Linked DNA regions of Schizosaccharomyces pombe. The protein of the gene in region 3 binds, or shares a complex with, the protein of the main gene of each other region. Each region holds a gene or a part of one and is shown on either strand. Other genes may lie near its edges. The genes, in order: mrpl16, img2, mrpl20 and mrpl40.

Evidence for each region.
Region 1: mrpl20 (region 3) and mrpl16 share a complex: the UniProt entries of both Schizosaccharomyces pombe proteins name them as parts of the mitochondrial large ribosomal subunit.
Region 2: mrpl20 (region 3) and img2 share a complex: the UniProt entries of both Schizosaccharomyces pombe proteins name them as parts of the mitochondrial large ribosomal subunit.
Region 4: mrpl20 (region 3) and mrpl40 share a complex: the UniProt entries of both Schizosaccharomyces pombe proteins name them as parts of the mitochondrial large ribosomal subunit.

What each region holds. Positions count from the first base shown.
Region 1 is NC_003423.3:3,506,547-3,514,574, forward strand, and holds mrpl16 (mitochondrial 54S ribosomal protein uL16m), read right to left. Parts: upstream 2,588-8,028; 5' UTR 2,388-2,587; coding exon 1,740-2,387; 3' UTR 977-1,739; downstream 1-976. Other genes in the region: lys4 (homocitrate synthase), read right to left, coding at 1-761; protein tam12, read right to left, coding at 3,157-3,357; ARS-binding protein Cbp1, read right to left, coding at 4,225-5,793. UniProt on the Schizosaccharomyces pombe protein: Component of the mitochondrial ribosome (mitoribosome), a dedicated translation machinery responsible for the synthesis of mitochondrial genome-encoded proteins, including at least some of the essential transmembrane subunits of the mitochondrial respiratory chain.
Region 2 is NC_003424.3:585,762-593,223, reverse strand, and holds img2 (mitochondrial 54S ribosomal protein mL49), read right to left. Parts: upstream 2,158-7,462; coding exon 1,978-2,157; exon of another isoform or gene 1,807-1,977; coding exon 1,669-1,806; 3' UTR 1,072-1,668; downstream 1-1,071. Other genes in the region: SPOM_SPAC3H8.04 (chromosome segregation protein), read right to left, coding at 1-481; csr102 (sec14 cytosolic factor family phosphatidylinositol transporter), read right to left, coding at 2,965-4,299; pdc202 (pyruvate decarboxylase), read right to left, coding at 5,912-7,462. UniProt on the Schizosaccharomyces pombe protein: Component of the mitochondrial ribosome (mitoribosome), a dedicated translation machinery responsible for the synthesis of mitochondrial genome-encoded proteins, including at least some of the essential transmembrane subunits of the mitochondrial respiratory chain.
Region 3 is NC_003421.2:817,559-826,227, reverse strand, and holds mrpl20 (mitochondrial 54S ribosomal protein mL58), read right to left. Parts: upstream 4,934-8,669; 5' UTR 4,585-4,933; coding exon 3,991-4,584; 3' UTR 2,751-3,990; downstream 1-2,750. Other genes in the region: duf89 (cobalt/nickel-dependent phosphatase), read right to left, coding at 1-985, 1,093-1,123; SPOM_SPCC1393.12 (uncharacterized protein), read right to left, coding at 2,223-2,549; telomere cap complex subunit Ten1, read left to right, coding at 6,071-6,379; Cu(2+) transporter complex subunit Ctr4, read right to left, coding at 6,900-7,769. UniProt on the Schizosaccharomyces pombe protein: Component of the mitochondrial ribosome (mitoribosome), a dedicated translation machinery responsible for the synthesis of mitochondrial genome-encoded proteins, including at least some of the essential transmembrane subunits of the mitochondrial respiratory chain.
Region 4 is NC_003424.3:2,668,002-2,675,438, forward strand, and holds mrpl40 (mitochondrial 54S ribosomal protein uL24m), read left to right. Parts: upstream 1-5,791; 5' UTR 5,792-5,978; coding exon 5,979-6,818; 3' UTR 6,819-6,937; downstream 6,938-7,437. Other genes in the region: mrps12 (mitochondrial 37S ribosomal protein uS12m), read right to left, coding at 333-821; mrpl28 (mitochondrial 54S ribosomal protein mL40), read left to right, coding at 1,812-2,168; Brix domain-containing protein Rpf1, read right to left, coding at 2,528-3,448; SBDS family ribosome maturation protein Sdo1, read right to left, coding at 4,170-4,782, 4,977-5,104; ESCRT III complex subunit Did4, read right to left, coding at 7,098-7,397. UniProt on the Schizosaccharomyces pombe protein: Component of the mitochondrial ribosome (mitoribosome), a dedicated translation machinery responsible for the synthesis of mitochondrial genome-encoded proteins, including at least some of the essential transmembrane subunits of the mitochondrial respiratory chain.

The DNA.
Region 1 (8,028 bases), on a different chromosome or scaffold from region 3:
ATACCAAGAATGGAAGTATCGATATGGGTAGCACCAGCTTCCAATGCGCAATAGGCATTAGCAATAGCCATACCAGTGTCATTGTGAAAATGACATTCAATATCACAAGAGACAACACCACGTAAGGTACGAATAAGATCGTAGACTTGGCGAGGAGTAGCGCAACCAACGGTGTCAGCAATACCAACACGGTTGACGCCAATCTTGTCTACAGCCTTGTAGAGAGAAAGGAGATCGACAAGATCAGAACGGAAAGAATCCTCAGATGAAAAGCGGACTTCAATACCCTTGCTCTTGACAAAGTTGATAACTTCGGTAGCGCTGTCAATAATGTAAGTCATGTCCTTTCCATGGGAATATTTGCGAAGATATTGAGAAGTTCCGATAACAACATCAACACCATCAACTCCAGTCTCAACAGCGACACGAGCGTCATCCATATGACAGCGAATATGAGTTAAAATTTTACACTTTAAGCCCAATTTGCAAATAGCTTCGCAATCTTGGCGGGACTGCTCAGAAGCCACGGGAGAAGTCAATTCAATGTAATCGACACCAAAGTTGTCCAATGCCTTAGCAATTTGAATTTTCTTCTCGGTGTCGAAAAAAGCGTTTGCGAATTGCTCACCTTCACGAAGAGTAGACTCAATAATGGAAAAGTTATTGACACGTGAAAGAAAATCAGATGGGTTGGGACCATAAGGGTTTCCATTCATAGGAGGCTTGATGGTCTCAGTACCATTAGCTTCGGACACAGACATGTTGATGACTTTAAAATGCAAAAAAAGGAAAAGGAAAAGCGAATTTTCTAAAATGAATTAAGTATAAATATATAAATTATACAATTCAACAACTTATTGTCCCGAAACCTGTTAGCTTTGAATTTTTTAAGCTAAATCTTTTATCACTGTAGAGGAGACAACTAAGAGCAAGGATGCACGTATGTATGAATTTCAAAAAATTCGACCCTACCCTATTTATTTACTGAAAGAAACAGTCACTACCAACTCGTAGGCAACCGCGGTAATTTATGGTAGAAAATTGATTTACAGATCCCGATCGATCTTGATGAGATTTAATCAGATCTATGGTAGTAATGATTAAGTTACTGATCCACTCAACAGTGGATTGCTAAGCTAGGTTCTAGAAGGTATAGTGATTTTTTTTGTAAACGTTGTAAATATTTTAGTGGAGTTGATTTGAATAATTTCATTCGTAATTCCATAGTAAAATCAGTTTCATATTATTTAAAGTGTACTTTTTGATTCACTTCATGATTTCGCACATATACAACGTGCCGTTTTTTACATCCCGAAAAAAAGTCCCCAACGGAGCAGAGAGCAGCAAATAAGATTTTCGCCAAAAACACTCATTACCGTTACCAACTTTTCAGGACCAAAGAAATTTGATGTTTTAACGAAATTGCCGAGCCGTAATCAAAGTGAATCAAAAGTGGTTCATATTTCGCCAACAAAAATTAAGCAACTCTCTCATTGGGGATGAAAGTTCCCATTTCGAAAATAGATAATGAAACATAGCGCAAAATGTACAATGTTTTAAGGCATTTCTGGCAAATTTCATTCACTAAAACATAGAATAACTACAACGATTGAAAAGAAGCTCATGAATGTCTGTACAAAGATGCAGCATTAAGTTCACAAACTAAGTAAGTGAGAAGTATGACAGAAAAGTAATTATTGAATGGGTTAAAAATAGATAAATTCAGCTTAACTTTTCCCTTAAACAGCTGTAGTAGTACTGGTAATTTCCTGATAGTTCATTTTGCTTGTCTCGGTGGTAATGGGGGTTTCATGAATCAGTGTGGTACCCAATCTTTTGGGGGTTTGCTTGACGATAATCTCATACTTGCCTGGAAGGTGAAAAGCGGCTTGCTTCAATGCATGCTCAGCTAACTCTTTACGCATTCCATCACCACCAATTTCAAAAAGTACACGACCGATTGGTATCCGTGCAGCCCAGTATTCAAAAGCTCCTTTGCCTTTGCCCATACGAGTTTCATTTCCTTTTACGCATACTGGCACATTGCAACAAAAACGTGTGTATACCCGAGCAGCCTTGATAGGTTTTAATATACGCTTGAGAATCTGTTCGGCAGTTTCGAGTTGCTTGGCATGAAATCTTATACTTCGATCTTTTAATCGCATACCATATTCTCCCCATTCAAGTTGAGTACCACGTAGTGAACCTCCTATGGGTATAGGGACTCTTCCTTTCTGAGCTTTTTGGTTTCTGATGCTTCTGGGTGCATACTGGTGTCCCCAACGAACCATCGTTTGGATAGGCGGCATTTGTAAACCATTCAACCTCGTAGGTCCTAAAATACCAGAAAAAAAGAAAGGAAATTTATTGTATTGTTGTAAAGCCATATTATATAAGTTTTTATGTTGTGAGGGTTTCAAAAAGTCATAAAACAACGTGTTTTTATTATCATGCAAAAGTCGTTCTTTAAAGTTACTCAGAAATATTCAAAATAATCAAATTTAAGTATTATATTTCTTTTTTTATGGGAAAATGGTAACAATAGTAACGATAATAGGCCTGCTATTTTTTGTATGAGAAGGGGGTTAAAGGATACTTGGATTCTGTATGTGTTGCTGCCACTTATCCTAACTAAGTTCCGGGAAGAAGCCGGACAATAACTGAACATTAGCTATAATTATTTATTTGTTTGTTTATTAGTTTGTAAAAAAAAAAAAAAAAATTATCTTAAGCATTAGGCAAAAAAGATTATTTTCATAGATACTGAATTTAACGTGCGTTTTATGCTCAACACATTATTTGATTCAGCATCATCATTTCAATGACAACAATGCGTGAATAGAAATAAAACAGTGACTATTTTAGCTATTTCAAATAATATACTTAGCTCATTTCTTGTCAAGGAATTCTTGTCCTTGAAGAATAACAAAACGTTCAACTGTTTAGTGCCTCAGTATTGGTATTTGGAATGTTAAGACTGTCTTAAAAAAATCTTCTGATGTACGTTTATAAACCATTAGAAGGATCCTCTATCGAGCTAAACATTATTGTATGGACAATCGAACGTAAGAATGCCAAGCGCAACTCTTTTGTCCCCTGTAGCAAGAACTTGCTCACATCATGATTATAAAAAAAACAAAAAATGGGATTAGGAAATTATGAAGGATCTGCTAAAATCTTGCGCATTGATCTACGTATCGCGGGAAAAGAAGAATTGTTCTGCAAAGCGTGAATAGCCTGATATTCCCAGTTTTCTAACGTCTTTTGAGCAGCTTCCTTCTTTAATGAATTTGTATATGATTGGGATAAAGACGCTGTTCTCGTAGAAAACGTCGACGAAGAACTAGTTGTTGACATACTTTAATAAATATTCCGAATGGACACAACCTTGAAGACTTGCCAATTCGAATTTCTCTGATTTTACTGATTCTTGCTGTAAAAAGTCTTAAAAAATTCCAATAAGCTATAACACGCTTGATTGTTCAAGCAAAGGATTTGAGTTATTTGTAGAAATAGAAATGTGCTTACTCGCCATAGTTATGAACATCGCCATGTTAGTCTAGGTCTCGAAGAGAAATCGTTATTTCATGTTACGTATAACATCAAAGTTCGTTATTGATTATTTCTTATATCATTACATCATATACCTTTGTAATGCTTAACTGTAAAGTAAGCTTATTTACAGTACGAAGCAGTTAGCAAAAGAGAAGTACATTTTTATAAAATCAATCATGCGTAAATGGATTAAATTCGGGTTTCACAGTAATAATTTATCATTTTTTGAAGCTCTAACCCCTACGGTTCAACTATTTACAATCTAATCTCGACCTTAAAAAAACAAATATGCCTCAATAAAAAAAAAAAATTTCTTACATTTAGCCGGTTTTTATTTTTAAAGATAAATAGTATCAATATTAAAAGCACTTGATTGCGAGACATGAATTACAAAATGTATAATATTCAATTTCATTAGCTCGTATAGCGATTTTGCGTTTAAGAAACTTCGAAAAGGTTTTTTTAAAAAAATTAAAATAAAAACAAAGAAAAATCAAATAAGCTCATCAGTTGCAATCGGGTATTAAAAATAGAGCAACAAGTTAAAATGAAGGAATAAAAGCAAATTACTCATTAGGTAAGGGATCCAAACTCAACAAAAAGAAAATTAAAACTACTAAAATACAAACCAAAAACAAAAAAGTCAAATATGCACAACGAATACAGACATTAGGTGCTTCTCAAACGAGAAAGATTCACGTTACCACCCCTTGCCTCAAGGAGCTTCTGATAATTTAATAGACTAATCGTGATTGCAGGATTTCCATCGGGTTGTTGAGCTTCATAGTTTAGCAAAAGCTCGATCGCCTTCATAGCGTCTTTAGTGGTAATCTGGAATTCAGTAGATTCTTCTTCGTCCGTCTCGAAAGCGCGATCATCCATGTACTGCGAAGCAATTTGATTGATTATATCCTCAGAGGAATCAACAATATTCTCTTCTGAAGGACTTATAAAATCCTCTATACGCATAGCAGCTTGAACAGAAAACTCTGAGACGAGCTCACGAAGTGGATGAATCATTTCATCCAAGGCACGCGAGGTAACGGCAGATTCATTGAATAGACCAAGAACACCGGAAAGATTGAAGGCATTTTCAATAATTTCTGGTGATATGTCTGTCGTCCATGCTTTCACCAACCATAAAATAGCTCTTAAAACATTAGTAGTATTATAGGGATTGCGTCCCAACTCATTTTGTTCCAATATATATTGAACCCAGTGTTTGCGATAGCATGCTTTTAGAGCATAGATCACACCCTCACTACAAGGCTGGGAAATAGAGGCTGAAGTAGATGGTAAAGTAATTACAGTTGTATTTCTGAGGTCATTACCAGAGTTTCGAATGTTTTCAACAGCACGCAAATGTGGAGTATAGCTATCAATAAGAAGTATGACTTTGCGACCTTCCATACACGCATCAAACCAACGTAGCCATTCCTCCATTATAGCTGTGGTCATGGATGCCTTACCATTACTTCTCCATTTGAAATTCATTACTTCGGGTTTTACATTAGCAGCCCGAAACACTCTGGGAGATTGTGAGTATCCAATAACCCATAAAGGCAAACGTTCGGTTCCCGAAGCATTACAACACACGGTTAGTGTAATACGAGCTTTGAATCGAGTAATACCTTTTATATCTTCGACTTCGGGAGTGCCATTTGGAACCAATTTCCAAAAAAGACCGGTCTCTTGCATTGTGAAGATATCATTAATATTCGTTAATCGCGTGACATCGTAAACACGAGAGAGAGGATCATTAGGTGGTTCCGTATTATTCAAAACCACAGACTCGGTGGGTTGTTCATTAATTGCATGAAGTATATGGCGCTTCCTGAAACCTTCCAACCATCCATTGCTAAAGTTCGGAACCGGTTGATCTTGATACTCGGGAATTTTGTGCCAAAGAATAGCGGCGGCTCTCTTAATTGTTTCACCGGAAAGTGTAGCATCGTCACCCTGTTGAACTTGCCATTCAAATAAAGCGGCCTCTAAAAGAGGGTATTTCGGTGGTCTGTTACGTTTCACGTCCCATGGTTTTTCTACAGTATTGTCCAGATACGAGTATTTGGAGGATAAGATCTGAGAGACGGAAGGCTGTGAAATATCTTTGCCAAACTTTTCACGGAACCATTCGATAAGATCTTGTTGACCGGAACGGTTTTGAAGTTGAAAAAAGTAGTGCCTAAGAGCGCGTTTTTCATGTTCTGTAATGGCTCTTCTTTTGATTTTTCCCATTACTCGATAGCTTTATTATTTCTAATGTCTTGAAGTGAAAATATAAGGATAGCAGAGCAAAGGTTTCTTGCCTTAATAAAACGACACTAACAGTCACGAGTTCGTAATATTATACTGAACAGCGTAACGTAATATCTAAGCTTAATATCTGTTAAGCGATGAAACAAACAGCGGTAAACAGTATAGTGAGTTTCATCTTCAAAAATCAACATATGGTCGTACCAGGTTTGGCTTTCCTAATTCATCTGGGCCAATTTTTTGCAGTGGTATAAAAAAATGAATTATTCCTGGTGCTATTTCATGGTTTCCAAATAAAAGTTTTTGGTCGACATAAACTGGATTACCAGTAAGAGTATTGTTAGTTTTGTATTTAGTATATTTGTGAAATTGCGTAAAATTGCTCAATAATAGTGCGATGAAGGAAAAATGGAACAAGGAATTAAAAAAAAAATAATTCCGCTCAGGGGACGAAGGGACTAAATTATGGAAAAAGTAGTAACAATTGATTATTGATGGGGTTACTATAAAATATTAAAAAAAAAGGTCAAACTCTATAAATGATGTATTTAAATTTATTTTTATTCTCTTTTTTTTTTTTTTTTTTTTTAATTTTTATATTCTTCAGTAAAAACTAATAATTTTTGCTAGGATTGCATTCAAGTCAATCTAAAAAAAAGCAATTTGTGTAGCAATTCACATATTTTTTTACAATTGACGGTATCATGAATTTTACTGTAACTTACTAACTGATAAATTTTCTTTATTTCGTGGATATATACTAGTCTACAGAACATGAACATATATGGAAGACAGTAGATGAACGAACATTCTACACTTACAAACGGACAGTTAGTTATCGCCTTGGAAATTCAACTTGCTAATAAAATTATATTAAATGATATGCATATTTAATTCCATTTTCCGAAATCATATTTTCTTCAAAAAATAGCATTCAAACGCCTCAAACTCATTATCACTCCATTCTTAATTGCCAACCTATATTACCAAATGCCGATGGTGCACATTGCCAGATAATCGGTTATTAGATCCGGGTCTAGAGAACGAAACCATTGCAGTTGTTAAAATAGCATATCTTCACAAGCCATTGTAAAATAAAAATATCAAGATATCAGATATTCATTAACGGTGTATCAAGAAATTTGAGCGCAGTTAACTTACAGAACCTCAAGTAGATAGGTATCGGTCGCATACCTTATCTTTCGTCCTAGTTCACTTGCGAATGTTCATACTACATGACGCCAGTCTAATTACTACTTATTCATCCCCGTTTGTAAATAACGACTCGGTAAATGCTACCTCGGTTAATTGGACTTTGTAAATGTTAACAGACTTAGCGCGACAAACCTTTGAGCGGCAGCATGGTATAGCAGAGGATGAAGTGAAAATTGGGTTGTTTTAATCAGAATTCAAAAAGTATGGTTTTCTATGTAGGATCCTGAAGAAAACTGCTTGGACTCCTTAGTGGCAGAGCAGATGACAATGAAAAAGAAAGTCTTTTTTTTTTTTTAATTTTCTTTTCGAATCCTTTCTTTCTCATTTATTTATTTATTTTTTTGATATGTCTTGTGCCCCACTAATTGAACGGCCACAGCAGTGTGACGAGGTAAATTAGATCGAAATAGTATACATTTTAAGGACCTGCTGATGAAGTAAATAAAAAGGGTTGATATCGTTAAATTGGTAAGTCACATGTTGGTTTCCGACATTGAGTTGAGAAGAATCATGTAAACATTACCAAATTCATTACCGAAACAATATGAATTAAATAAATAAATAAATAATATTTAGAGTTCAATCCAGCCGAATTGGCATTTTTTTACTTAGCAACTAACTGTCTCAAACGCACCCTGGCAGCAAAGGCGTGAAGGTAGAGAGCGTGTACAAATGCTAATGTTTTGTCGGCTTTTTACAGCGCTTCGTTGCTATTTACAATGAATCCAGCGCGTTGTTTACGGTATAACGACGCGGTAAGCCACAATAAACGGTCGATTGCTACCTCTCGTCCAATCTACCTGGTAACCGCTACCTAAATGTAAACAAAACAGTACGCAAATCCAAGCAGTAAACAATAAAACCAGCCATTAGGTTAGCCAATTAAGGAGTCAAAAAGTGTCCATATTTGTCGATCATTGTTTACTTGGTAGTGATTGGTTGTCAAATTTTCTTTATCGTAGCATACTCTAGAGCGCTCCGTGAGTTGAGAAATTGGTATAA
Region 2 (7,462 bases), on a different chromosome or scaffold from region 3:
CAAAAGGTACTGATGAACAGTAAGGCATGTGACCACTAAACAAACTCTCCTCGTATGATCCTATAAAACCACTCCTTTGAAAGCAGTTCTTCAATGAATAGGTATTTATACCTTTGGCGTTAAGAGAATGTTCAGCAGAAGCATCAATTGGTTGTTGTTGAGTTATATAATCACCAGACAATAATTTATTACAACGACATGAACATCTCGTGAACAGATGAGGCCCATTTGAAGGTTTAACAGATTTCTCATTGTTAAAAATTTCGAATTTCAATGGAGAATTACAGAGAAAGTGGTTGTTCGCCTTACTATTACCAGGAAAGTTTGAAAAAAAGTCTTTCATCTGACTTATCGATTTCAAATTCATCCATTCTTGTTCGATTGGAAAACTCCTGCTAGTAGAGAACAAGTTTCGAATATTTTTGTATAGCAATTCATTATTTTCAAGAGACGTTGATGTCGCACAATAACAAGCTGGCATTAATAAAAAAGAAAAAGAAAAGGAATAAAAGGCTTTCGATAATCGAATACAAATGAATGCGGTTTGTTCGCATTCAAGGAAAGTAAGGTATTAATGTCAAGAAAAAACAAAACAAAAAATTCAACACGGAAATAAAGTGCCTTATATCGTGTCAATGCTTAACCACTTTTTGATAAACGAAAAAAAAATAACAAAAAAAACAGAAAATCATTAAATCATGGATAACCGTAAGTATTTTTCGAGAAAGCCTCAGTTCACTAAAGAAAATATAATTCCCAACATTAAGAGTTATTCAGCTTATAATCACCAATAAAAAAGGGATAAACTACAAGGAATTTTCTTCTCGTGAATAATTAATTCATAAGCAAATTGTAAATCAACGTCTTCAGAACAAAGCAAAAATTTTAAAAGCTAAAAATGTTTGTCAAAATATTCCTATCACAGACAAATCCAAGTTCAATTCAAAAATAATGAAAAAGTCGTTGAGATTTCAGGATTATAAGTATGTGTGAAGGGAAAGGTAAAGAACAGTCCATGGGCGTATGACGCAGATATATAGATTATGTTTGAAGGTATGTTTTCGATATAGCATTTAATATTTGTCAATTTACAAACTATACAATATTGAGAAAAGAATTTTTAATTTAGTTATATACCCTAATAGCCTTAAACGTATTCTGTCTATAACTACAGTCAAAAAATAAAAACACCGGAGTTTCGATATATATATTATAATTTCCTTTAAGCGTTTATAAATTCAACAAAACAAACGAATAGGTAGCAAAAAAAAGATTGTATTTAGCATTTGGACGCCTCACATTAAGCAGATGTTTGAATTTCTTTTTACGCAAGTACCTCTTGAATGTTTCTACTGAAGCTCGAATAACTATTTATTTAAAGGTAGTTAAGGAAAACCATCACAAAAGATGCATTTTTTCCATTGTCAAGTTTGAAAACCACGTATGATGAGAAGAAATGAATCGAGATTAATTATTTGCAACAGCTGTGTTTTATTTGACATTATCACCGCTGTAACAAGGAGATGAAGTAAAAGTAATATGCTAAAAAGCCAAATTGATATATATGCTCGAGAGTTTTATGTTGATAAAAAGCAACTTTATCATTCCTTTGAAAGAAGGATACGTACATACATAGTAACAATCTAAAAAAGGAAAAATTCTAGGAACTTAAAAACCTTGGTCTTGTAACCATTCACGAACTGTGACTATGTGATTTCCCTTTAGGACAACTTGATTTGTTAACTTGTTTACATAAACATCTTTCGGTGACATTTTAAGTGTGGAAATGAGCCTGAGCCGCAAAGCCTATTGATAAAATATTGTTAGAAAAAAAAAAGAGAACGAATAAAAGAAGTTAAAATAAACTTGGGTTGGCCGTTAAAGCAAAAAGTTGATAGAACAATTTCCGCAGCATAGTGACTTTACTTGTACTTTCTTTAGCCAAGAGATTACTGCTGACGGAATATGTATACTTACATTAGAATCACCATGGATTTTACGAATTAAAGTCAGAATTTTCGTTCCTCGTTGTTTGTAGTCTAGATAGACTGGGAGATTTTTTGAAGGTGTACGTGAAACATGAAACCGAAGTGATTCGGATGCAATTGTTGAGTTGAACCTCAAATTTGATAGCACTGGCTTTAAGGATGATCGCATTTGGTTCAACAAAACTTTCTACGAGTTGCAGGAATTTATGGTGGATGTGTAAAAGAAGTCGTCGTGCATTCGCGAATAAAGAGGATTTCTATCATAACCTCCAAAAATTTGTAAGTTTTAAACAACTGTCAAACAGGAGCCTAAGATTAAGTGATTCACTAAGAACAATTAAAATAAAATAAAACGCTCTTGTTTTAAATAAATTTAATCGGTGCTTGAACCTCACGCGTGTTTAAACTCGAAAGTATTTTTACGGCACGGAATATACTTCAGCGAAGGTGCATACTCATTAAATTAATACTATATTTTGGAGTAGGCATTTAGGTGTTCAGCTTGTTGTTTTTTTTAATTTCGAACCGCTTTCCTACAATAAAATAAAAAATAATAATAAATAGCAAGAAATCTAAGTTAATTTGCAAATAAAACTGATCATTGATTCTAATAAAGACAAAATGGATGGATAAGTATTGCGACCAACAACTTCAATGAAAAGCCATAAGACCTAAAAAAAGTTATCCCTTTCTAGATGATTTTAAGTGCATTAAAGAGAGTGCTAAAAAATTAAAGCGATAAGGAAATGGTAAAACGAAAAGGGGTGTAAAAATCAACGTAGGAAAGAGATTTCATATGTAACTAATTGATATAAAAGATCTTGAAAGTTATGCATTAATAGATGATACAATCATATTTTGAGCCAGCATCTTATTTAGAATAACACGGGAAAGTACAATTAGTCAGTATACGGGAGTATAGGCAAGGGGAAGGATTACAATGTAAAATAGCAGGAATATTGAAAGTTACGACCGACTAAGTTGCCGAGCTAGTAACTTCTACCATTGATTCTTTGACATCTCCATTTGTAGGTTGAGAAAGAAGCAAAGTATGGGAAGTTTGAGGAGCAATTAGGCCCATGCGGTCGTAAACTGAGCGTGCGCGGATGTATTTATCCAAGTTCCAGTATGCATCAATAAGTTGTGAAGCTAACTTACGACGTTTTTGTTTCACTTCTGCCATGTCACCATTGTTCAAAATCCAATCCATTGTAACTTCCTCGTACTGTTTAGCAATTGCATCCTTTTTTGCTCTAAGACTCTTACGAGCTTCAACATTCTTCAGAGCTTCTGCTTCGTTTTGACAGGGTTCTGGATATGTATATCTCCATGGATTAGGCCCACCGAATTCTTTTAAAATATTGTCAGGATTTATATATTGTTGCAAATCACGATAATTACGAGTGAATTTAACCTTTGAGACAACCACTGGATCAAGCCAAGATTTGATGATGGACCAAACGCCTTGGAAAAGCCAAGGCGCTTTGTGTACAATACATTCACCCAGACATTCGGGATAGTGTGCTTCAAAACACTTGATCATGAATTTCAATGGCCCATAGTCCATATTGGACATACTGAAATCAGTCATATCAAAAACAACAGTAGCAGTTTCAATAGGAGGTTTGAGAATTAAACGAGCAGTTTCCATGACCCAAACTGTGAGTCGCTCAACCGATTCGGGTGAGACATCACCAACTTTATGAAGACGTGCGCGAATATAACAAACTGGACGATTGTGTTTATCTTCACCGAATATAAAACACTTTCCGATTCTTAGTTGACGCACAAAATCATCATCTTTATCAAGGTGGTCAGCGTTACATACAATTTCACCAACATTCATCTCTCTACTTCTCCAGTGAACGGTTTTCATGAACATTTCCAACGCAGCCTCAACGTTCCATTTTCGAGCACGAAGGAAACGAAGTAGAAGGCCATCAGGATCATCACAATTAACAGCATCCCAAAAGCAAACTCTAAGCCCTTCCGGGTCCCATTCACTTGCAATTTTTTCAACTCTTTCCAAATGCACATTTTTGGTTTTATCATTAAAACTGCGAGTGTCCGAGCCATGAGATGAAGACGTTAGTTCAAGTCGTGTACGGGATTTCGCATATGAGACGCTGCTTAAACGATGTGATGAGGAACTACTTGAATCATCAGATAAGTGTGTCTTCACTGTGTACCAAGATTCAGTTCTTTCGAGTAAAGTAATGCCGAAGAGCTTAAACAAATAACTCCACATAGTCTTCAACTTCTCTTCTTCAAGTTCTGTGAGATTCCACGGTCTACCGGCTCCTTCAGGCATATTTAATAAGTAAATTGCGCGCAAACAAATATAATCTAGAAAAAGTCCAAGGAAAAAATATATCAGATGAAATCAATATTAATAAAATTGAACTCAATTGAGAAGGAAATTACGAGAATAAGCCTAAAGAATGGAGGTTAATCTCGAAGATATATAATAATTTGAAAAATTGGCAAAGATAGACAAAAGAATGTGACGAGTCAAAAATACACTAGCCGTCAATTTGCTTCCTTTTGGTCAGAGATGCGAAACAAGCTCACTGAAAAACAAAACGTAATGCTTGTAGTAGAAAACAAAATAATATAGGGAACTTAGTTAACCGAATGAATGAATAAAAAAGAAGAATCACTCGACAAAAACTGAGTTGGTATTTTAAAAAAAAAGATAAAAAATTCCTCAGAGGACTATAAGTGGGCCTGAGAAAAAGCGTGAAATAATAACAAAGGGAGAGGAGCTCAATAATTTCTAATTCACCTTAATGTATATCAAAGTGATATATTAATGAATATGCAACGCACAGAAGGAAATGGATTTTTTTATGAAAGCAAAACGTAATAAAATAAAAAGTCACCTACAACTTTTTAAACGGATTTAGATTAATTACCTATTGGAGGCACAAAACGCGTCACAAAAATTAATGCAAAGACAAAGCCGTTCAAAAAGCAAAGAAAAGAAAACAGAGCTTTGAGAACATTCACGCGTTTAACACTTTTGAGAAATGACGGGGAAATTTTTAGGATGCTAAAAAGCGGAATTTTAAGACTTCCTGGTTTAATTACTTTAGCCAAAGAAGTGATCTAAGCTTTATAATTATTAGTAGTCGGTATTTTAGGAATCACTAGTATGCCGAAATTACGAAACTAACCGATCAACACAGCCTCTTCCTATACTTACACAATTCTTGGAATTAGTAGCAAGAATTAAAAGAAAAAGCCAACGAATATTAACCAAAATATATTTTTTCAAGGTACCAAACGCCACGAAATGCAGCTTACCTTCCTATGCGAAAGAATAGAGCGCTGAAGTATGGTGTGGTGTAGAGTGTCAAAGTCAGAAGCTGCGTTGCAGAACCATTTATAAACAACAACGCAAACCGTTCGTCCGTTGCTGTGATAGAGTGATACATAATATCAGTCAATTGCCTTTACCCGCTACATTACCTAGGAAATCGTAATAAACGAGCGTTATAATTTCATTACGTTACAAAACCACTGTATTAAATAGTAGAATCACCCAATTTTTGTAAAACTAATAAATTCTTAGCATATCACAATGTGAATGGAACGGTAGCTCCTATGTAAGAAATAAGAATGTTAAAGTTGGCTTTTAAGCAGTTTAGCAATTTTTCTGCGAAACTAGTAAGTAGATGCAAGGAAACTGGTTTCCACATTGTTTGGATTAACTCTACCTTTTCATTCATTGCTTCCAAGGTATTGTTTGTTTACGTACACCCTAACTTGACTTGAAAAATTTTAAACTAAAAAGTTGCTTTAAACATAAATTTAATAACTAATCATTATACTAAAAGACTATATGAATTGAATGGGCTTATCATAAAAAACATATAAATCAAAGGAAACTTTGTTTGCCAATTCCACTCTCAATAGCTTGCTCATTGCTTATTGATCTTAGACGTCAACTTGGCTTGCTCAACTAGGACACGAGGTGCATCCAACATAGGCATTACAAGCTCAACTACTTGAATGACATCTGCATTTGCAAACTCCTTGTCGCTAAACAACTTTTCAACGTCAGTAGGAGTTTTAACACAGTAAGTGCGGAAGTGGTTTTCAGCAGCTCCGAAAAACTTGGGAATCTGTTGGTAGCCCCATTTAGTGTTAATTTCGTTATAGCTAGCATGCAAACCATGAATTAAACGCTCAATGGTGTAACCGTCGTTGTTAATTATGAAAATAATTGGTTTGAGGTTATGGCGAATGCAGGTTGAAATCTCTGTAATCGTCAGTTGTAAGGATCCATCACCTACTACAAGAATGGTACGACGATCGGGCTCTTTAGAATCGTGGACGGCCAAAACAGCACCAAACATTGCACCAACGGAGTATCCAATAGATCCCCATAATACCTGGGAAATGGCTGTTACATCCTTTGGAAACCTGCAATCAAGGACACCAAAGTTTGCAGTTCCAGTCTCGGTGATCAAAACATCTCGGGGCTTCAAAAATTCACTAAATTTAGGCCAAAACCAGCAATGAGTAATCTCGTTGGAAGAATATCCTTCCGCATGCTTAGGCTTGATGTTGTAGCCAATGGTAGGAGCAGCCTTGGAATGACACATAGAAGCATCAAGTACTTTCAACAGTTTGCGAAGAATATACTTCATGGCTACATTTGGATAAAGAGCATATCGAATGCGCATGTGGTCTGAATGAAACTCAACGGCATTCTTTTGGCTGAGGTGGTAAGAGAAGGAACCCGTGTTAAAGTCTGATTTGAGAGCACCGATGGATAGCAACAGATCAGTGGATTCAATTCTGTCTTTAACTTCAGGATCTGAAATTGAACCAACATAAACGCCGTCAAAAAATTGCGAAGTTTCGTCAATTGCAGATTTACCCATGGGAGTTACATATGTAGGGAAATGGGTCAATTTAATCAGCTCATGTACTTCTGGAACGACACGATGTCTTACAGCACAAGCGTCAATTAAAATCACTGGTTTCTTTGCATTGACAACCATTTCCGAGATATGATTGATGACTTCTTGCTCAACTGCTGGATCGTTAGTATCCTCCTCGAGCTTTAGTCTTTTCCCAAGATTTGATGAAGATGCTTTGAAGTAGCCAGCATCAGAAGGAATACCAATGTAAACAGGCCTAGCCTTTTTATAACAAATCGACAAGGCTTCATCGATCTTTTCAGCTGCATCGTTTCCGTTATCGATCATTATACTGTAGGCAGAAACTTTCTTAAACATATCCATGAAAGTGCGAAAGTCTCCATCTCCTAAAGTATGATGAAGCAAAGCTCCAGTATCTTGCACCTTTGTGGAAGGCATTCCAACAATATGAACTACTGGGACATGCTCCGCATAAGAACCTGCCACTCCATTAATAGCGGAAAGCTCTCCCACGCCGAACGTTGTAACAATGGCTGAAAGACCATTAACACGAGCATAACCATCAGCGGCATAAGCACCATT
Region 3 (8,669 bases):
GCAGTAGTCCAAAAAGGATTGGGTCGAATTACAATTTTTCCTTCCGCATGAAACTCCGCAAGATCAGAGGCTAATTTTTGGACACCTTCGCCTGAAAAATAAGAAGTTAAGCTGTTAAATAAATGGGGGATGTCGTTGACTAAGACATCGGAAACAAACCAGGGTACATCCTTCGGATGTAAAATAATTGTTTCCGCTATTTCTGTTTTCAAAAGATAAGTAGCGAATAAAAGATCAACGAAAAGTTCAAATCCCGCATTATCAAGAACAAAATCGATGCGACCATGACGAACTTTTGAAAGTTTCGACCAAATTTTGGGGAAATCATTCACTAAAATGTTTTTCTGGGATTCCTCAACAGCTTTTTGCCCCTGAAGGCTTTGTAATTGTTCGTAGGTAGCATTTACTAAGAGTCCCAGATCAATGGCGTTGCCCCAAAGTGAAATTTCCGCCATTTCTACAAAAATCATGTATGCAGCCTTGTCATCCTTGTTTTCTTGAATAGAAGCAAGTTCACTGTTCAGGTGTACATATCTTTTGGCAAATTCTTCAATGGCCGACTTGCTAGAACGTAATGTGAAGTCCTTTTGTTCAAAGAAGGGGTCATGGCGATTCCACTCAGAACGGGCTTGAAAGAAAAGACTCATGATACGATAAAAATAGCATCCAGCATAAAGCCAGGGAGCATCGCCCCAAGTCAATGGACCAACTTGTTCCAACTCCTCATTATAGTCATCAATATCAGGCCCTTGACCGACAAGCGGCTTCAGAGGGCGATTGTGTTGAAGATCATATTTGAGTTGATTAAGAAGGCTGATTATTTCCTTTCCTTGAGTAACATAAGCAGCTTTATCGGACATTCCCGCCTCCAATGCCTTTGATATGTTTCGAGAAACCTCGTCAATCACATTCGTAGCTATAATAGGCCATTTTTTCATGACACATACCGAAGCATACGACTCAGGGTCACTGGTCATCGCATAAGCTGTATAAAGTTAGTTATTTTGCGGTTTTAATCTACCTATACGATGCTCGAGCATCCAACTAAGAATCCTCAAGTTTGTTTATATGTCTAGCTAAACCGTTACATACGTTTAGGAGGATGAAGTAATTTGAGACCCATCTTATTTTCTTCAGGTACCTATTTTCCTGTTGAAGGATAGACACGTTTATGAATACGCCAAAACCAGCTTAGCTGAGTACGCCCAAGTGCGAATAATGGAAGATGGTAGAATGCATACATACGCAGGACTTGTCATGAAGGTGAAAACGGGATAGAGAAGTATAACGAACTGCGCTTTTTTAGAGCTTGATTAGCAGTCAGAAGCATTAGGTACGACGGCTAAGAAATGTCAAAACGACAATTCCATCGTAATATTTGTCAGCAAAAAAAAGTTTATCTTCTATAAACCGGCATAATGCATTTTTTTGCGTTTGACTTTTTAGCTTATTTAGAGAATTCACCTGAGGGGCATTTTCCATACCTCTCGTTGTCTCAAATTAACAAAAAACTATGCATTACAGTATTCTCATCTTTCGCGTAAGCTAAGGTTATATCTAAGCGAACTTGATGAGTTCTATCTCTTCATCTTGAATATTATTAAATATATCAATTTTGACTCTGTCTACTAGAGCAGATTAAAGCAAAACACTCCTTTCAATCTTTTATTTTTTTAATAATGGAAACTAGGAAAAACCTATAATATCCAAACTATGCATGTATTCATATGCATTATCACTACTCTTAGTCCACATCGCTTACTTTAAATATCATTTTACAGTCTATAATGGAAAATCATGCATGTAAAAATTTCAATCATTCATTTATGCGTTCATGAAAAACATTATTTCAATTAAAAATTCGCTTTTATCTGTACAAAAAAAAGCAAACTTCTATGAGGGTGTTTTTGACAACCCATGGAATCGTCGTTTGTTTGTCATCGCTAATCATTTGGGTTCAGTTGGTTTATGAGAGAAGAAACTAATAATAACATAAAAAAGAATAACGTTAACAACGTTTAATCTCTCCGACTTTGCCGAGATGTGATCCGGAATGTTTGGCAATACGTTTGGAACAATTAACAAGAACACTTAATGGATAGCAGGTATAGAACGAGCCAATGCTAGGCACTTTACGTTTTCAAATACACAACAAACCCTGTGTGTATTTTTTCAAAGTATTGCCACATAACCCTAAATGGCGAGAATTGGGGATTTCCAATTTAAAACCATTTTGAGGTACCCTTTTTAAGGGCTTCTGCTTGTTCAGTACCCTTGGCTTGCGCCTCTGACAACACATTTTTTACGTTTTCACGAGGTTTGTCGAGTTCATCGACAACCCTCTCCTTCCCACTTTGGAGATAAGATTTTGCCTTTTCAGTGGTTTCGCCAACAGCTTTGTCAAATCGTTGACCCTCATTTTCCACGGCTCTGACGATTTCTGCATTCTTCTGTTCCAATCTGGAAGATGCCTGACGATTATGGCGAGTCATATAATAACCAACACCAACAGCAGCGGCCAAGGCTCCAAGAGTAACACGCCTATTCATGATGCTCGATTAGGATTTCGTGAATTAACCGAGTAAAAAAAAATTAATAAATCGAAAGGTTATATAAAAGCGGTTTTCTCCGTACAACACAAAGGATTGATATAATATTCAATCGAGCGCACGAAAAAAAATTAGATTTTTCCTGAACACTAGTAAATGTTCAATTGTAAAGTAAAACAATATTTCAAAGTAGTAAGTCGCTTTTGTTCAACTCACAACTTTATCGTTAATAAGAGTGCTCACTTCTACTTCCCACTGCTCTATATATAACACTTTTAGTAGCACAATACGGCAACGTAAATGAGATCATTCATATACGTATTAACCCACCCACCCATCATATAATTCTTGTGTCTGACTGATGTCACCCCAAAACTTCTCGAGGTACTAAGTAACAAGGAGAGAAGAGGAGAGAGGAGTGTAGGATTTGAGAATCGCAGTATGCAGTATTACAACAAAGCTGTGTCCACCATACAAATTAAGCTTGTTAGAGTCTGTAAAAACAATGTCTTAAAGCAAAATTCCTCAACTAGGTCGCATGTTTCTTTAGACGATCGTTGGAAAATTGGGCCAACAAAGAAGAGCACGTATAGTCACACAAGCTTCAAAAAAGTAGAAAACGGCGAAACAAAGCTTTAATATAAGTAAATAGTAGCTAGAGATGGATGTATTAATGAAATCCGTAGAATGCAAATTGTCCTAAGGAGATGGATGGATGATGGCTGGTGAGGAAACTTGCAAAAGTAAGTATCTCGTGAGTGTTTATAAACGGTTGATGTCGATTGGAAATCTTAAATAGCAACTGCTTAAAAGCCGAAAAAATATCTTTATTTTCACCACTTGAGGTTTGAACGAAAGGGCTCTCTGTACAAGAGGAAATAAAGATGTTTTTTTACTGCTCGCTGACCCAATTAATTATGTACACCATTGTATATTCTCAGTAATAGTTAAAAGATAAAACCAAAAAAAAAAAAAAACTGGCTTGAGTGTTACAAAAGCAACATACTCTATGATTGAGGATTTCCGAGCCTACTAAGCTGAAATGAAAAATTTCCTCATTTGTTCCAAAAAGGAAATATGTACATGAGAAGGGAGAGGTAAAAATGTAAAACAAGTTCGTGCCTGTATAATAACATTTTAAAGGTTGCGACAAAAATTCGCGATATGCAGACCAATGTGCGTAAATGTTGATAGAAATGTAAAGGATAATTCGTAAAATGCCAGAGAGCCTTTGTAAATTAAGAAATAAAGAAGAATGAAGATGTCTGTTTTTTTTGAAAAGCTTCAAAACTAATATTATTTTCCAAGGAACTTTCAAATCACTCGAGTATTTTGTAACGTGATTGAAACATTAAATAATGCAGTCAAAAACGCTTCCGCATGTGCATCAGAGCTTTATTGAAAACCAGAGTTTTAGAATCCCAAAAACTATTAAATTATTTTAAACCTGTGCTACTCGTTCCAATGTACGGAATGCTTGACGAGATGCACGTTGTCGGCGAATTTCACGCTTCTTTGATCCCCAGGCAAGTTTTTCAGCCTCAAAATTTTCTTCAACTTTTTGAATCCTTTCTTTGGGAGCTTCACAAACTCGTGAAATTAGTAACCGAGTTGTGTTAAACTTTTTAGACAGTGTTCCAGTTGTCCAAGCATTCGGATCTTTCGTCCTCAAGTCTTGGATGGATTTGATATCTTCACTACTCAGTTGATGAGTAGAAAACCTCAACTTTCCTTTGCTTTTCGATTTTCGGCTAACTGCCGGCGGGAGAAACATTGACTCTTTGGAAAGTGAGGTATCACGCTGATGAATTGGAGGTGCATCATAGCGAAAAACAGGAGGAGTAATCCTAACATCTGGAGAAGACGCTGGTGGATTGTAATAAGCAGATGTAGTTTCAGTTACCTCTGCTATTTTGGAACCCATAGGAATTTTAGGTCGCTTAGGAATACGTTGTTTAGGGTATAGCCGGTTCAAATTCCGAGTCTGAATGAAGCCTACAGGCTTCAAAAATGAAGGTTTGATTGTAAACAACATGTTTTTACTCTTTCAACTATTTTAATTTTGGTGTCGCTTTAGAAATGATGCTTTAAATTTTTTTGAGAAAAGGTTATAACACAAAAAACTGTAAAGGGCCTTTTGGATAAACCCACACTTCAAATAATATTAGTTATAACGAAGATTCTCAAAGCCTAAAAGCTATAGCAACGACGTGACAAAAGAGCTCAATGCAAAAAAAAAATAAACAGCAAAAAAACACGCAAAAAATCACTTGGAAGAGTTCTAACTTTTGAATTTACAAGAATCGTATTAAGGCTTGCAATTTTCCGAGTAAAAACACGAAATTACTCTCCAAATGCGGGTTTCCTGGAGTTTAGCAGTCTCTATATGCACAGTATCCACACTCTTAGTTTCAATACGTATAATGCAGTGTGTTTATGGCACCTTAAATGTATATTATATAATTCGTTATATTAAAACTGGTTTTTGGCACTTTGACGGTTTATTAAGAGAAATCGGAAGATTCAAGCTAAAAAATATTGTTAACGGCATTTTGATTGTAGGATAAATTCAATACAATTTTGTTTTGCTGTTTTTTTTTTAAACCATTTCTAATCTGTTCATGGTTCAATTTAAATACCGATTATATTGAATACTGGAAGCATGATATTTTAAATATTAAATTAAATTTATTTTATTTTTTTCAATTTTCCATAGATTTTTAGGAAATGTACACACCTTTTCAAACTGACCCAAATTTTTTGCAATGTAAATTATAATATCAAATGGTTAAGTAAGGGGTAACCTTTTGTTTACAGTCAGCTTCAATTTATCAAGTGAATATTAGCCGCATTGGCCCTATAACTAAAATCGGAATTTATTACAAGAACTATTGATTTCTTATAAGGCCTTAAACAACTACATCAGAACATGTTTCCAATTCTCTGCTTGATTTTAATCAATATTATAATGGTATAATAAATAATTATCGTTATCGTTAATAGCTACTTATATTATACAAGTTTACAAGATATTTCAAGAAGCTTTGGTGGTTTAGTGGTATAATGAATCGTTGCCATCGATTCGACCCGGGTTCGATTCCCGGCCAAAGCATTTATTTTTCTCTTTTTATATTCCATCTGACTTAATTTATAAAAACTAATCAAAAGAACCATGCTTGCGTTTTTTGTGGAGTTGCTCAAGTAAACCAATTCATAAATAATAATAATGGAAATGTTGGTCTATTTATCAATCTAATATGCCTCACTGATAGTACTATACGATTATTAGATTTTGCTTTTACTATTGCAAACGAGAGTGTAGTCTTTCTGCACATTTTAAGGATTAATGCAAATTTTTCCTTTTGAAAAAGTCAAACTACGTTTTCTTAATTAAAGCTGCGATCTTAAGTCGCTCATTTACGAAATTCATATTTCAATCGATTACCCAGTTTCCAAACACAAACTATACCACCTTCCCTCATCTTTCCTTGTTCTCCTTTTTACAATATATTTAGCAGCTGATGGATAGTGCTAAACTTATCTTCATTAATCAAATTAACGATTGTAAGGACGGCCAAAAACTTCGATTTTTAGGATGCGTGCAATCATATAAGAATGGCATTCTACGGTTGATTGATGGATCAAGCAGCGTGACTTGTGATGTTACAGTAGTTTTACCTGATGTATCTATTCAAAAGCATGAGTGGCTCAACATTGTTGGGAGAAAGCGGCAGGATGGTATTGTGGATGTCTTGTTAATACGATCTGCTGTTGGAATTAATCTTCCGAGATATCGACAAATGGTTTCTGAACGTCAAAAATGTGATTGATGAATATCTTATGTAGTTCTGTTGCACCATGTCATTACAAACTCATTTAAAAATATATAGAAAGTGATCACCTTAAGATACCATAAAGGTACTGAATCGTGTTAATGTCAGTCTTTATAATAATAAATATTTATTAACCTCCAGGTTCAAAGTCGAAAACAAACAATCATGGTTAAAAAAAAAAAGGAACGAATTACATCTGTTCAAATTGCTATATACTCTAATTTGAATGTTTAACTAACAAAGATAAGCGTTACCTTGTGGCATCTATTTATTTTTGTTGAAACTTTTATTACTTTGTAAAAACTTAAGACAAATTACCAGAATTTGTTTTGTCTTTCCAACATGGACATGTAATATGTGGCTTCAACATTCATCAAAGAATCCTCTTCCAAACTATCAGTGACTGTGCGAAAGAAATTAAAGCGAAGACGATTATGATTAATCAGACGCTTCAGCACTGAAAATGAGTGAGGTGCATGAAATTGGGAATACTAAACCAAATTTAGAGATAATCAAGCTATTCGGTTGTAGGTGTTGTGTCTGAATATTGACTGGAATCATGTTCGTGTTTTTCGTCGGCGACTTGAACGATCGTTTTCGTTTGAACAGATGAAGAGGCCTTAGTAGAGATGGTATCCGCACCAAACAGGAAATAGCCAAAGAAGGTGCCACAAAAGAGAAATAAAATTACATAGCCATTATAATACATTGCGAGTAACATTGCGATATACGCGACAATATACTGGACTAGATAAAAGCAGGACCGAAGAAAATGAAGAAAGATTCGAAGGGCCATGCTTGGACCAGAATGAACAGGGGCACCCGAATGACAGCAGGAATTGCTAGCGGGAGAAAATCTACGGACACACCAACGATCGAACTCTCTTTGTCCGCGACGGACCAATTCCAATGCCATCATCATGAAGATAATTCCGAAAATACTACCGACAAACATATGCTTACTGGTGATATGCCAATGTTTGGTAATAAAGCAAGCATCGATAGTATACCAGTTCCAATACATGGATAATTTACAAGAAGAAGCCTTTGCGGTTGTAGTGGTATTAGTCATATTCATGCCAGACATGGATGTTGTGCTGTTGGACATGTTCATTCCAGACATGGATGTTGTACTATTGGTCATGTTCATTCCAGACATGGGTGTCGTACTGTTGGTCATGTTCATTCCAGACATGGATGTATCATTCGACATGTTCATAGCAGCCATAGCGGCTCTAGCAGTCAAAATTTGCAAAGGTGGGAGCAAATTCTCCAATTGAGACAAGCTAGAGTCATCTACAGGGCCTTGGGAATTTTGAGCCATAGATGTTCCTAACTTAATGAGGGAATTACCCAGACTTTGCTTTGCAGCGGAGAAGAAAGACATGACTTCTAGGGAAAAATAAAAAACCAGAAGAGTAGTAAATGAGTTTTAGAAAAAAAGGACGAAAGAGTTAAAAGAAAACTTGAAGATTAGGGAAGACCAGTATCTTACTAACTTTGACAATTATATATTTAGATGAAAAATTTTTGTTCTTAAAAAACAAGAAAACAGAATATATGCAGATGAAAATTAACCCTACGAAACACAATGGAGAAATGAATATCAAAAGGAAGAAAAAGAAAATGAGAGACAAGAAAAGAAAGAAAACACAATTATAAAATGAACGAAATTTCGGCAATCAATGGGCAGAATCTCAACGAATTGAAGAGCAAATTGAATTTATACAGATTTCAAAGAAAATATTCTGTTTCTATATTTTGCTAAAAAAAACCAATTTTTCGACCAATATGAAAAATTACAAGTAAATAAACTGAATTTAAACGATTAAACTAACCAACCCAATGTTCTACCAAAGCCTTTCAGTCAAACAATCGTCTCAAGGTTAAGCGTCCAGGAATGTCTCTATCACACCTTCCTTATATATACCATAACCTACGAAATGAGCGATTATTTCTGTCCCTAAAATCAGCTCTTTTACAGCGCAATAATACCTCGATTGATTTTTTCTTCCAACAAAGTAACATCCAAGTAGCAGATGGAGGTAGAAGAAAAATGCCTCATTTTTTTTCATCAAATGAGTGAATCAGTCGGAATCCAGCATCACAAACAGTGACATTTCCATAATTTTAGCACAAGAAAAACACACACCTAAGATTTAGGTAAGACATCCAACCTTTTTGCATAGAGGAAATGTGACATTTTTTAGCATCAGAACCGTTGAGTGCGCTATCCACTATTAGAAGGTATTGTTTTAACGATACACTATTTACAAAAATAACGGTA
Region 4 (7,437 bases), on a different chromosome or scaffold from region 3:
TTTTTTAGATAACTGGAAATTGCCTAATTACACAATCTTTTTTACCTTTTTTTGATGATTGTATGTTTAAAGGGGATGTAGTTCAACTAAAAAATTGCTTATTAAACATGCAAGAGTAAATGATTATTGAATATGTATAGTTGCAACAAGAAGCAAGGTTGCGAGAAATGACAAATGGGTTGACTCAACTTTTTTCTCATTTAAATTTTTGTTTCAGTCATTTTAATAAGGTCCTTGTGAATCGATATCAAAAGAGGAGGTGGAATAATTATAAAGATAACGTTTCTGAATATCATGGTTTTCGAAAAAGAAAGTCTTTGAGGTCATGAAGTTTAGGCTGCTTTCGGTTTTTTTACTCCATACTTGCTTCGGGATGTGACACGTCCCGCTACACCAGCAATGTCATAGACACCCCGAACAACATGATATTGGACTCCTGGACAATCCTGTGCTCTGCCGCCTCTTAACAATACCACAGCATGCTCCTGTGCATTATGACCGATACCTGGAATGTAAGCAGTAACAGAACGGCCGGTTGAAAGGCGTACACGGGCAACCTTTCTTACTGCCGAATTAGGTTTTTTGGGTTTTACTGTAAAGACCCTCGTGCACACACCCCGTCGAAACGGACTTCCCTCTAAAGCAACAGATTGCTTATTTGTTTTTTCAGGACGTTTCTCTTTATTTCTTATCGTTTGATTTAATGTCTTTAACATAACTGAAGAGCTAGAAAACGCTTGAGCCTGAAATGGTGAAATAACTGTTGGCTTCATCAACCTTGAAATTACCGGATATCGAGCATATTGAGCAAAACGGATCATTATTTGGGGAAATTTAATATTTGAGCTGTATAAAATCTCAAAAATCACTATAATAGATGCTTGAGCAAGGAATTCCGAAGTTTGTACCCGAACGTCGCTGGTTTGGTGTTAGTGTATGTATATTGCCTTGGAATAGAATATCTCGCAGCATTCATATTATTCGATGGGATACAAAAATTTATTCTTTTATATTTTGACAAACATTTTTGGGTATAACTAGCGTATTAAATATTTTTTCCTCTAGGAATTGAACTTTAATGGACTAGTCTAAAACAGATGCAGAATGTAGGTATGCTAATCGACAAATTTACAGTACAGTGTTAAGCTGAAAAAATCAACTTAATTCATGACTTCTACTGAAAAACGTACTGGAAGTAGATTGTATTGAGGTTTAAGCTTCGTTTTGCCATGCCATTTTCAGTTGATGATAGTATTTATTACAATAACTTATCCATTCATTAAAACTTTAAACACTGATATGGATTTATCAATGTGTTTGACTACTTACATGAAACTTAGCAGAAAAATTGAGCATCAGGCCTACTCCATATAAAGCTTTGACTTAAAACTTAATATTTTCTACTTGTTAAATGTCTTCGTTTGGTTACATATCTCCATAAATGCATATGCTTTGTTTGGCTTAGCTACTGAAAATTCAGAAACAATTAAATGAACTCCGAATTATAATCTATATTTTTTTTATCAGTGTGTGAAATTGAAGGGGATTTGATGAAACACTTCTTTTTTTGAAATATCGTACTGGTGGCTTTTCCTAGTGTATCACGACTTACTCTCTTAATTAGCTTCATACCACTGAACACGTTTACTACTACCGCATTTTTCTCTACTCAGGTTTTTTAGCTTTTAAAGGAAGGTTTTATGTTAATACTTTTGAAAATTAAATTTTTTTCTATCAACGTGAAAAAATTCAAGGAGTACTTTAGTTTGTGTTGAAAAGTTTTTTGGCAGATGCGTTCTACGTTACAATTAATGGCTAAGGCCTCAAAGGGAAAGCACCAATCTGGTCCTTCTAATCATAGTGAGTCAATCGATTTGGTTAGAAAAGCTCTTTACGGAAATAAAAAAGTCAGGTCTTTGAAAATGAATCCAGACATGTGGGAAAAACACGAAGTTATTAATCGCGCTTGGCGTATACACGAATATCGACAAGAAAAACAAAGAGAGAATCTTCTAAAAAACCAATTCTCTGCAATGAAAATTGCTTGCGAGGAACTGAAGCATACGAGTGAAACATTATATAAAGCCGCAATGAGCGATTCAATTAACAGGAGGTTCCCCGTAGAAACGAGGACTCCTACGGACACACCACCACGGCTTTCTAAATAGGCGAGCGCCTTTTATGAGTATAATTAATATCTTCGGTAGTGCTCGAAAGTGTTATAGACAAGTTCAAGTATATAAAAAAATGTATCACTAATTACGAGCAAGTATAATCTAATTAGGATTTTTAAATAAACCAATAATTGAATTAAAGAATTATGTCTCCTAGTTTCTAGTCTACATGTATCATATTATTCATTCCCAATTTCACCGTAAACGAATGATACAAAATGAAAGGCCATGCTTTCTTTTTTAACCAAAAATTTAGAATTGTTACCAAACCCAAACCCTACCTCGAAAACAATAAAATATGACCCAAACACTGTTTTCTTTTTACAACGTGTCGCAGATGAGACAAAATGTCTTTAAAGCCAGAATTTACGTCTATCTGATTCTTCACCGGCATTGCTCTCGAAGAAAACCTCCCCTTCTTTCCTATCCCATACTCCTTTTTGAACCATACGAAGACGCATGGTAAATCGAGGACCTAATTCTTGTAGCCCAGTTCCAATACCATCTGGCATATTCGATTTTTCACGAAATGCATAACGGTGTCTTCGAAAAAAAAGAAAATCTCTTTGACAATGGATGGTAACAACTTGTCGCCCTTGAATTTGAGGCGTTTGAATAAATAATGATTGAAAGGCTCGAGCAACAGTCATACCAAGTCTCGTTGAGAAATTGTTGATTATCAGTTCTGGAATATGACCAGTGGAGCGGCCATGATTTGAAATTTCCTTTGCTGTTTGGAGATTCGATAAGGTAAAATAGAACGAAGGGCCATTCGGTAAGTGTACAAGGGTTAATGCATTTGTTTTTTTACGATCCTCATTTAATACCAGTAAATCGGTGTAACCACGCTTAGCAGCGGCTTCTGCGATTTCATGAACTTCAATATCTCCGGTTCTTTTTCGAAATTCAGCATTAGGAAAACAATCTAAAAGCTCAGATGCAAAATCATAGCATTTTCTAGAGGCTCGTTTACTCGTGGTTACCAAAAGTTTCGGAACTTTCCTTTCTTCACTAAAGTATGCAGAAAACTCATCATCTTTTAACTCCGCCTGAAGTTCCTCATCGGGTTTATCCTCTATGATAGTTTCATCATAAACTCGTTTCGATTCAATAGTAGCGGGAATATTTTCTGAAAGTCGCAATCTCTTCTTTTCCGGGTCTTTTTCTTCTTCTTTAGCACGTTCTTTTCTTCTTTCAAGCTTGTCCTTATTTTTTTGATGAAGAGCCTTCATATACTGCTGTTGGCGGACAATTTTGTTTTTAATCTTCCCCATTTTAATAAGTTGCGTATAATCTCTCAAAATTTAAAATTTAAGAATGAAATAATTTAAATCCTTACAAAAAATTGCAACTAAAAAAAATTGAGATAAGAATGAGCAACTTAAGTACAAATAAAAGAGAGTTAAAAAAAAGTATACGATGGGTTTGAAGTCTCAAAAACTTATTGCACAATCCAATTCCATGTCGCAAAATACCGAATCTGAAGAACATGCTACGAATTTCGTCAAATTTGCTTAAAAGTATTAACGCAGTATTATATCACACTGCTGTTAAGCAAAATGTATACTTTAGTTACAATTACTGTTTGTAAATAGGTGATATTACAATCCGAAATCGTACACTATAGATATCCTCATCATTAAATTGTTGAACAACTGAAAGCATTGTGGTAAGGGTTCAACATTCTACAAATCACTCACGCTACTTTCATTTTCACATTTGAATGCGTGCTTTGAATGGAACTAGCAGAAATGAAAGGGACGATAGTCTTTTAATTTCATTTCTTTACTTTCTTTTTACTTTCTTCTGAACTGAATTGCTATATTGATAAATTAAATAATGTTCTGGATAACCAGAACGAATCAGAACGTGTCTTTTAATAGCAAAATTTTTCAAAACCAAAAGCCAATGAACAATGTAAGCAAAAAGGAGGAGGAAAACAGATTAGGGAATTCATATAGAGCGTATTTTCAGAAAGGTTATTTGTATACCTTTTTAAGTCCTAGCCTCGCTCATGTCGAGTACTTGAACCATACCTCGGTTTTTGGTCTCATTTCGGACAAGTTCATCTATCAACTTATAATTCCCTGGAATCACGAGAGCTATGCACTCATATTCATCATCAATGTTTTCTTCTTCAATTTCATCAGCTAAAGAGCGTAAACGCTCTCGTAAAGCTTTTCCCTGTTTGACATCCACCACTATTCTGATGCGCATACGCGCACGGACGATAGGAATTTCGTTTTTTTCTTGCAATTTCTTAATAGCTTCCAGAGCTTGGGACTTTGCAGTTTTACTGGTAGAGACAGAAAAGCCACAATCAGATAATGCTTTTTCAATTATAGATGCTGGATAAGGTCGTTTAGAATTAGGATCCATGCACATCGCAGTAACATGGGAGACAATATCGCGATAAGTTGAAGACATTTGATGATGTCTTTCCTTTTCACCTACTTGAAAATCTCCTTTTTGCAAAATTTCTAAAATAATTTTATCTATATCATCTGTACCAAAAGCCTTTTTCAAATCCTGTCGGCTAGCTACATGTCCTTTAGAAACATTGTTAAACACATTGTGGATTTGTAAAACTTCATCCAGATCTGTTTCACTAAACTTGGTTAGCTATGGTTTTGATCAAAAAAAATTGTACGAGTTATTGAGTTGTTGACACCAGTCGACAAGACACGTGAATTCAAAAAGATAGCTTGTTATAATTTTCTGCTGATCTTAAAGAATATTTATCTGTAGCAAAGGCTGACTCTCACTAATTACAGTAGCTTAATTTAATGAAATCATGCATACATTTTGTTTCTCCATTCTGTAACTTTATTTTTATAACAAGCAACTTCAAATCTTTTCCCTCCTTTCTTATATTTTACAACGGACACATTGGTTAGACGAATTTGTCCAACAGGTTGACTAATAACCATTTTGCTCAAGATGGGTACTTTTTTGGATTATTTTTTGTTATTCTCACCTTCTCTAATTATAGTGTTTTAATCCAACGCCTAAATCTGTTAAACAGGTTAACAATCCATACACTATATATCGGTATTTAGATTTATCTGAAAATTAAACAAAAATTTGATATTTGCGAGCCTGAAAGGCAAAAGGATGGTTCCAATCATTTTTCGGATGTTAACATAATCTTGGAAAACCTTATGGTTAAATATTTAATATAAGTGCAAGTTATTTGTCGGGTTTTCTAAACCAGTTTACAAATCACGAATGATATTAGGCTTTTAAAAATTATTACCTAAATTCAGCAAATACTAAAAAAAAAGTAGAAAACAATAGAAGTATCGACTAAGTTTGAGTTATCCGACAAAACTTCAATCTTACATCCTAGTATATTAACACAACCACTTGCGAAGCGTTTCTATACGATTTCGCTTAACATTTTCAATTTTAAACTTATAAACAAATAGATAGAATGACATTGTCTTAACGAGTACACATCATTTTAATGTTGGTTAACGATGTCGAAGCTGTAGAATATTGCGTGCAAAAGCAAAAGCAAATTTTAAATAATGAAACTTAACCACGTATCGCAAAGTTGCCTTTGTGTAACAATGATCCATTTCTTTACTTATTGACGAAGAGAGTACTCAAATAACAACTGCAAACTACCAGCAGGATACACATTACTGTTTCATAGCATTCTTATTTTTTCTCTTATATTTGGCCATATTTATCCTGTCTAGAGGTTTTACTTTCGTTCCAACATTACAGCGTAGTAAATTCCTCTGTACAAGTGATGTACCACCGTTAGTTATTTAAATATTATAAAACTTTTTGAGCAGAATGAGAGACTTGCGTAAATTAATTCCAAGGCTCCGAGGCCCTGGTACTAACGTCTTAAAAATGAAAAAGCCTTTACCGTTGCATATGCGAACCAAAATACGCGAACACCTCAATAAATCTGATCCAACTGTTAAAGACGATAAATCCGCTAAACCCGAGTTACCGTTTGGAAAGCCAGCTGACAGAGTCCCTTTCTGGCATATTTTTAAAGGGGATTATGTATATGTTCATCAAGGACCTCTGAAAGGAAAATGGGGCCGTGTTGTTGAGACAAACAAATACACAAACGGTATTACCATAGAGGGGGTTAATGTGAGATCCGTCAAAGTACCAATTTTTCTTTTGCGAAATAAGCCTGAAGATAACCAAGATCCAGTAATTGATATTGCTCACGAAGTACATTATGCAAATGTGCGTCTTCTTGCGCATGCAAAGACTGACGCCGGGGAACCAGTTCTTATTCCAGTTAAGCTTAAAAAGCATTCCTCAACTAATCTCCGGTCCATTATTCGGCCTAATATTGAAGGAGTACAAATTCATACTATTCATCTTCCTCGTCCCAAGACTGAAGATAAGCCTAAAGATCCCGAAGGTAAACTCGATACTAAGAATCCAGTAGTTAGTAAAGTTACTTGGTCTCCTAGCTTATCGGAGCCTCCTCTTCCTCCGTTTGCAATTGGCGATTTACGAGCCAATTGGTCTCGCCGTTTAGATCGTATATGGGGATATAAAAAGAACAATGATGATTTTACTGAAATTGCTAAAGATCTTGTCCGAGCAGAGACTGCTGCTGAAGATTTAATAAAAAAACCCATCTCTCCTAATACTTACAGTGATTAAAACAAAAACGATGTTTGGTCGTTGCAAGCATTTTTTTATAACATTACATAATGATTCACAATCTCTAGGTTATAAAGCTTAATAAACTTTTGTAAACTCTTCTAAAAAATTTTTCAAGAAACTTAAATATATTTAACTTAGTAGAGTAAGTGATAAGTGATTTCAATGAAAGTGAAGTATTTGAAGTTTACACGTTAACCTAGAAAAACTTTTACTAATCAATGTAGAAAATCTATACAAATCAAGATCTTTAAAGTCCATTAATCTCTTGTGCGAAAATTAACGCTTTGCCAGTTCATCCAATCTGGCTTGTAAATTGTCTTCAGTCTTTAACTCCGGTACCGTACCAATTTGGGTCGCAGCATCTGGCAATCCTTGAGACAAATCGACTCCAATTTCATCCAACACTTTATTGACAAGTTCATCAGCTTCCTCTTCGTCATCTTCTTCTAAAGCATCGTCCATATTTTCATCAATCATTTCTTGTCTCTGTTCCATAATTTCATTTTCACGCTCGAATTGCTGAGTGATACGAGCCATTGCCGGTATATTCATGCTTTTGTTCATCCCTGTCAATAACTTTGTAAAAGTTAGTTCTATATTTTTCGATATTAAGGTG